2 linked regions of the Danio rerio genome follow. The protein of the gene in region 1 interacts with the protein of each later gene in a biochemical or structural test. Links are inferred from orthologs where the notes say so. Each region holds a gene or a part of one and is shown in the gene's direction. Other genes may lie near its edges.

Region 1 (3,338 bases):
TCTATTTTTATCACCATTTGTATTTTTTATTCTACCATTATTATTTATTTCCATATTCATGCATACATGGAGTGCTCAGCATGAAGGAGTGCAATAGACAATATATTGTGCTGCATTTATTTATTTATTTATTTATCAGCACACTGAAATGCTCATGAATAAGAGTGAGGTGTGTGTTTGGCTGAGTACTGCACTGTAAGTGGCCAAATGCACCTAGGCTTTTATGCCACACCTGCACCACACAGCACCATCTGCTGGTTAAAAACTGAGCTTAAACTCCATTCAAGAGAGAATCACAATGCATTTTGAAATAAATAAATAACACAAAAATAAATAAGGTGAAGTTTATGTATATAACAGCATTTTTATTTTATTTTTTATTCTTATTTTATTTTAAAGCTGTCAGATTTGTAGAGCAACTGCAAAGGAGAGATATTTCCATAATAGTGTGTTAGACCAGTACAGAAGTCATTACTCACCAAACCTGTTCCTGGAGGGCCGGAGTCCTGCAGATTTGAGCTTTAACCCTAATCAAACACACCTGAACAAGCTAATCAAGCTCTTACGCTGCGGTCACATTAGAGTTTGAGTATGCGAAATTCTGTCATGCAGCGCTGCAAAAAGCGCCGTGATTAAACAAGCTTATTAGACATTTTTAAAACTAAAAGCGAGCGATTGCTGCATGTTTTGATCCTCGATTTGTCTCAGTCTAGTGATGAGATTTCTCAGAGTTCACCAAGCTGGAACTTTGCACCGCAGCAACCTGTGAAACTTGACAAATGACCCTGCGTTTCCTGTCTGACGCATTTGCGTGCGTATGAATGGAAGTCTATGGGAGGAAAAGCCCAGTGTGACAGCAGCTTTACTGGGTATACTTGAAACATCCATGCAGGTGTGTTGAGTCAAGATGGAGCTAAACCCTGCAGGACCAGGATTGCTGACCCCTGGACTAAGTCTTTAGAGATGCATATTTTGCAAATACAGCTACAAATTTTGAGTCACCACAAAATCTGGACCGATGACCCCCCCCAGGACGTATACCACTGCCAGACCACCTCAACATCCCCGAGTTATTACATGATGTGGTTTCAGGCCGCAGCTCTAGATATTGCTTCATCACTGAACGCTCTGGGGAAAGTCATGATTGAAGGGAATCTACTATATTTGTATTCAACATCACTGTTTTTGTCTGTCTTACAGGCCAAAGTGAATAACTCGAGCCTTGTCGGGCTGGGATACACTCAAACTCTGAAGCCTGGTAAGTGTGTGTAGATATTATTAAACAGGGCTCTGCTGAAAAATCCAGCTTAAACCAGCCTAGGATGGTTGACTGGTTTTAGCTGGTCAACCAGCCTGGTTTTAGAGGGGTTTTGGCCACTTCCAGGCTGGTTTCCAGCCATTTCCAGCCTGGTTTTAGCTGGACAAGCTGGGAGATGACCAGCTAAAACCAGCTTGACCAGCCTAGCCAGGCTTGGAGCCCAGCCAAAACCAGCTATGTCCAGCTTAAACCAGGATGGTCAAGCTGGTTTTGATGGTTTTAGCTGGTCACTTTCTAGGCTGGAAATCAGCTTAGTCCCTTTATTCATCAGGGGTCGCCACAGCAGAATGAACCACCAACTTATCCAGAACATATTTCACACAGCGGATGCCCTTCCAGCTGCAACCCAGTACTGGGATACTCTCTCATGCACACACTCATACACCACGGGCAATTCAGTTGATCAATTCCCCTACAGCACTGTGTTTTTTCAGGTCTAATATGATATCTGCAGTATAATACCTGCTGGATTAATTCCCCAACGTCTCTCTTCTGCTTTCAGGTATTAAGCTGACCCTTTCTGCTCTTCTGGATGGCAAGAACATTAACGCCGGAGGCCACAAGATGGGTTTGGGTCTGGAGTTTGAGGCATAAGAAGCTGTGGATTGCTCCGATCCTGACTTCATTTAATATTACACACTTTATTTTCTATCCCCACACCCTCACACACCTTATTTCTCCTGAGCAGGAACACACACGGTATACCTGGAGACATGTATGCATTAGCAGCGGCTCACTTTCCCAGAGAGAAACACTATTAGAGAAGAGCGCTCCCCGGTTTATAAGATGTTTTGTCTTCAACACACTCTGCGTTATTTATTTCAGTGTTCATACTTTACAGATGCTCATTTCTTTGTGGAAGTTTACGTCAGAAAACACTAGATTGACATTCCTGATCTTCAGAAAGAGAGCCTGCAGCTCTTTATGATAGATTCCACACGTTTGGGTGCGTCTCATGTCTCCGTCTGGTGTGTGTGTGCGAGTAATCCACATGTGTGTCGTTGTTTTAGCGCTGCATACTACCTGCTGCGTCCGTGCAGAGCTCCTGAAAACAGAAGTGTGTGTCGGGAAGAGCACGAGTGACGTGCAGTTCTGGATGTAGGCTTGTCTTCCATTGTTACATGTAGGATTAGGAAGCTGTGGATTTAGCAGGATGGAGTCCTTCCTTACGTTGAATAAAACGTTCGACCTGTATCACACCTACTGGACTGTGTGTGTTGTGTTCTGTGGGAAAATCTGCCTTTTTGCATGCAGTAAATTCTGTTTATGAAGATTAATGTTTTTGAAAACTATAGGTATAGACTGATAGAATGTGTAATAAATATATATTAAGTTGAAGTCAAAATTATTCGCCCCCTTTGACTTTTTTTTTCTTTTTTAAATATTTCCCAAATGATGTTAAACAGATGCAGGAAATGTTCACAGTGTGTCTGATAATATTTGTTCTTCTGGAGAAAGTCTGATTTGTTTTATTTCGGCTAGAATAAAAGCAGTTATTGTGTTTTTAAACACCATTTAAAGGTCAATATTATTAGCCCCTTTAAGATATTTTGTTTTGGATAGTCTACAGAACAAATCATCATTATACAATGACTTGCCTAATTACCCTAGTGATGCCTTTAAATGTCACTTTAAGCTGTATAGAAGTGTCTTGAAGAATATCTAGAGTACTATTATTTACAGTCATCATGACAAAGAGAAAATAAATCAGTTATTAGAGATGAGTTATTAACACTATTATGATTAGAAATGTGTTGAAAAAATTTGCTCCGTTAAACAGAAATTGGGGAAAAAAAATAAATGGGTAATAATTCTGACTTCAACTGTGTATGTGTGTGAGAAATAAATAAACACAATAAAAGAATTATAAAAATATATAAATATTAGTAAATATATTTAAAACAAATAAAATAAATATAAAAATAAAAACAAAAAATAAAAAAATATAAATATTAGTAAATATAACGAATGTATATTTAAAACAAAAAATTGAGAAATATAAATAAAATAATAATAAATA
Region 2 (3,927 bases), on another chromosome or scaffold:
CTTTGTTTAACGAGCGCGAGCCATTTGCGGTTAATAACATTAACATTCATAACGCCTGTCAAGTGTTCGGAACAAAACATTAGTGAACAGATAAGGAAATCTGAAGAGGGGGATTTATATCAGTGACAGATAACGTGTAAAAGTTGCGAAGTTAAATTTAGATTTCAGAATTACGCTCAATGGACGTTTTAAATTATATATACTAAATTTGTTGCTTTTCAAATGATACAAAGCTTTAGCTAACGGACTTTGGAGTGAGTAAAATCCAACTCCAGTAAAACTCCAGCACAGGCAGAGCTCATCTGATCTGCTGCAATAATAAATGAAACTGCTCCTGGGTTTTAAAGAGCAGCTCTGAGTCTGAAGGGGCGGAACTGAGTGAGCGCTGCGCCGCTGAATGCTCGCTGCACCGAATGCGCTGCTGACAGCGGCTCCGCACAGACCGAGGACGAACACCCACATCGATCATGCGGGACATCATGAATTTGCCCTCTCAAATATCTGAGTAAGTACAAATGGTCTACGATAGGGGTGTGGGTCTTTACAGCCGCTTACAAGCGATTTGGTGTTACCACGGTGAGCCAGTCCATCTTCCATGACGCTAGCAGCTACACGGCTAGCTAGCCGAGGGAGGAAAGATTGACGTAGTTGACTTGGATTTTTACAGGAAACGCATTCCTGGCCAAGTAAGAGCCATAAATTATATAGGGCTTGTTATTAATTTGCTCTCTTGCTCGTGGTTTTCGTGACTGTAATGTGTGCAGAAATGCATCATATTCGTTCGTGAATTAAACATAACGTTACATGGGCTGTTCAATTTTACTCACACGCGTGAATCATTTATGCTAAACTGATTCAGGAGAATAATCTAGAATAATCCGCATCCAGCCTTTCTCCTTAACGTTAGCAGGCCGACGTTTGGGAAGCTCTTCCCAGCTGCTTATGATTTTTGTTTGGATATTTGGCTAATAATTGGACCCTTTTAATGAGCGTTTTCTCGTGCTCGGTTGACTCTGCGCGAGCTCCTCTCTGAAAGTGATCAGTATTGCTCTTACTTCCCAGACAGAACTGACTGGTTGTTTCCGCACGGCCTCTGTGTTATGGGCCTATAATGGAGCCTTATTACGTAATGGCTGATCACGTCACGCATGTAGGTGATCATATATCCTATCACAGAGAGGGGAGGTCTGCCTTAAACAGAAATATCTAGCACTTACTCGCTTTTTTCCAAACATACAGTATTACTTTTGATCTGCCACGCTTTCTGTTTAATTTCCTCGCTTAATCTGTAACTATCCTAAATTTCGAGGGCTTGTTTGCTTGGTTGACTAATCTACGGGAAGAGTAAGCAGATTGTGTTATGGTAAGCTCAGTGCTCTTTTGCTCTCTGTGTTGTCATTATCGTAAACGTTGTCAATAAGCGCGATAACTTAAGATAAAGTAGACAAATGTTAACGCAAGACTTGTGTGTTGGTTAATTTCTAACAAATTGCTCGATAATATCTTTGCTTCAGTCTCGTGTCAGCTTTAAATGTTGTTATTTGAGATCACTAACATAAGACAGCGCGGAATAGCTCTGTGTGTTTATGTGTTTGGGAGGTATGGCATCCATACACTCTCTCGTGGCCGCGCATGTGCTGCTGCTGTATACAGGAATGTGTTTGTGCTGTGTGAGTTGACCTGGTGTTTGTAAACACACCGCGTGTCGCCTTTATTAGAATAATTATTCACTCATCGATCAATCCAGCGACATCAATACGTGCTTCCACTTCAGTAAATATACATAACATTACACGTGTTCAATAAAAGGCGGTGTTTCTTATTTAATGATGAAATTTTGCGTCACATTTCGGACTAAGAGTGAGTCATTTCTTAGTAAGTGTAATAAAAAATGCTATGAAATGTGTGTTTTTTGTCATTTTCACGCCACACACAGAGCTGCGTTGAGATGGCCATGTGTTGTGCTCTGAGCTTCGTTGTTGTCAGCACGTGTTTTTGGCTGATCCAGTGTTTCCTGAGAACTCTCGCGCTCTTCCCACGAGCTATCAGATAATGCAGCGCGTGAACATCCCATGCACTCAAATAGACGAATTCAGCACAAACTTAGCCTTTAATCCGTTTCTTCTTTAATGTAGATATTTCGAAAATCTCTACACATGAACGATCATTTTATCTGGATGTCAGTCATTGTGTCTCTGTCTGTCTGTCTGTCTAGCTGCCCATTGAATTAGGGAGTTGTCTCGAAAAAAATGAATCCTTTTGATTGGAGTTTATAATTAGAAAATAGTGCTGTGTAAATTTGATCTATAATCAATAACTCCAAACTGTTCTATATGTTTAAGAGAGATTAGTGATACAGATACACTGAGCAAACATTGTAAAAAGCACCCCTAATGAAAAACACCTTGGGGAATCTTTTGTCTGTGACTCTTGGCTAGTTCTTCTGGCACTACAAAGAAGGTCCGTTATGGATTTGTTCGAATGAGGGAATCATAATTCCAGCCACGTTGGCCATTTGTGCCCCCCTGCTGTTTAAAATTCACTCATGTCAAGGTCAGTGTACATTTAGCCTTGTCTTGGACAAGGGGAGAGGGGAAATTGTCCATGTTTTTCATAGGAGGCAGGTGATGAGAGGCTACCATCTGTTCCTTTGATCAAGCTCTTCATTAAGTAAGAGGGTTTTAGGTGGTGAAAAAAGCTGTTTATCTTCAGTGCCCCTTAACCTCTTCCAAAGTTTCACCCTGACCCCCCTCCTCTGCCTGTTTGTGAAGATGATTGCGTATTTATGGATCAATTCATTGCACTGTTGTCTTACCACAGGGTATGAGCCATTGCACCATCCCTGAGCGTCGGCAGAAGCCTGAGCAGGACGCAAGGGTGTGCACTGTGTTCTGAGAAACAGCTAGTGGATATCTAGACATCGGAGAACGAGCAACAACCTGAATTATGTCTTACTATAACCGAGAACTGGTGGTATTTTTTATCAAATATAAACTCTCGCAGAGGAACTACCCCTGCAACCACATTGGACTTACAGAAGACACAAATCGGACTGATGGGGCTGAAGAGAATGGCGAGGGGGCAGCAGGAGCGACAACTCTTGTTAATGGCACCATGAATAGAACGAACGCTAGTTCCACTGGGACCCCACCACAATCCCCTGCTTCATCCCCCCAGCGTCAAACAAATGGGTCTGGGGGTCTAGACGCAGTGAAGGAGGCGCTCCGTGATTCTGCCAACGAGTTTGAGCTGCGCTATTCCAGAGCATTCAACGATCTTTCCTCACAGCTCCACATCACACCCGCCACAGCGTACCAGAGCTTCGAGAGCGTGATGGATGAGGTGTTTCGCGACGGCGTCAACTGGGGCCGAATCGTGGGGTTGTTCGCATTCGGAGGGGCTCTGTGCGTCGAGTGTGTGGAGAAGGAGATGAGTCCGCTTGTGGGACGCATCGCAGAATGGATGACCGTCTACCTAGACAACCATATTCAACCCTGGATCCAAAGCCAAGGAGGATGGGTGAGTTAAAATTTACTTGTTTTTTAACCTACCTTATTCTTCTTCAGTCAGCATTTATGTATGTTCAATGTGTCAGATTGTCCTGTTTAATATAAAGACTTTTCAAAGATTAAAAAAACAAACAAACTATATGGGCAACCTTGAAGTAAAAAGTTTTGTTACAAGGCACGTCTACCCCTTAAAAAATAAGGTTTTCACCCTCATTTTGTCACAAACCAATAAGACTTTGGGTGAACCCGAAGGTATTTTATTCTCTAATAAATCTAAATTAATCAACCAGTAGAATCGTAGGATATTTTAATTAGAGGACCATTGCAGTTTGTTAATAATTCATGGAAAGAAAGATACATATGTATCCTTGGAGTTTCCCTGTTTTCTTCAGTTAAGTAAGAAAATCCAATGTATTTG

Evidence for each region.
Region 2: the proteins of vdac1 (region 1) and bcl2l1 form a complex in vitro, tested with the Homo sapiens proteins (4 studies listed by BioGRID). The link is inferred for Danio rerio from reciprocal best matches to the Homo sapiens genes VDAC1 and BCL2L1.

What each region holds. Positions count from the first base shown.
Region 1 is NC_133196.1:49,351,260-49,354,597, reverse strand, and holds the end of vdac1 (non-selective voltage-gated ion channel VDAC1), read left to right. Parts: intron 1-1,200; coding exon 1,201-1,258; intron 1,259-1,820; coding exon 1,821-1,912; 3' UTR 1,913-2,521; downstream 2,522-3,338. UniProt on the Homo sapiens protein: Non-selective voltage-gated ion channel that mediates the transport of anions and cations through the mitochondrion outer membrane and plasma membrane.
Region 2 is NC_133198.1:21,881,946-21,885,872, reverse strand, and holds the start of bcl2l1 (bcl-2-like protein 1), read left to right. Parts: upstream 1-1,261; 5' UTR 1,262-1,363; intron 1,364-2,820; 5' UTR 2,821-2,946; coding exon 2,947-3,519; intron 3,520-3,927. UniProt on the Homo sapiens protein: Potent inhibitor of cell death. Inhibits activation of caspases. Appears to regulate cell death by blocking the voltage-dependent anion channel (VDAC) by binding to it and preventing the release of the caspase activator, CYC1, from the mitochondrial membrane.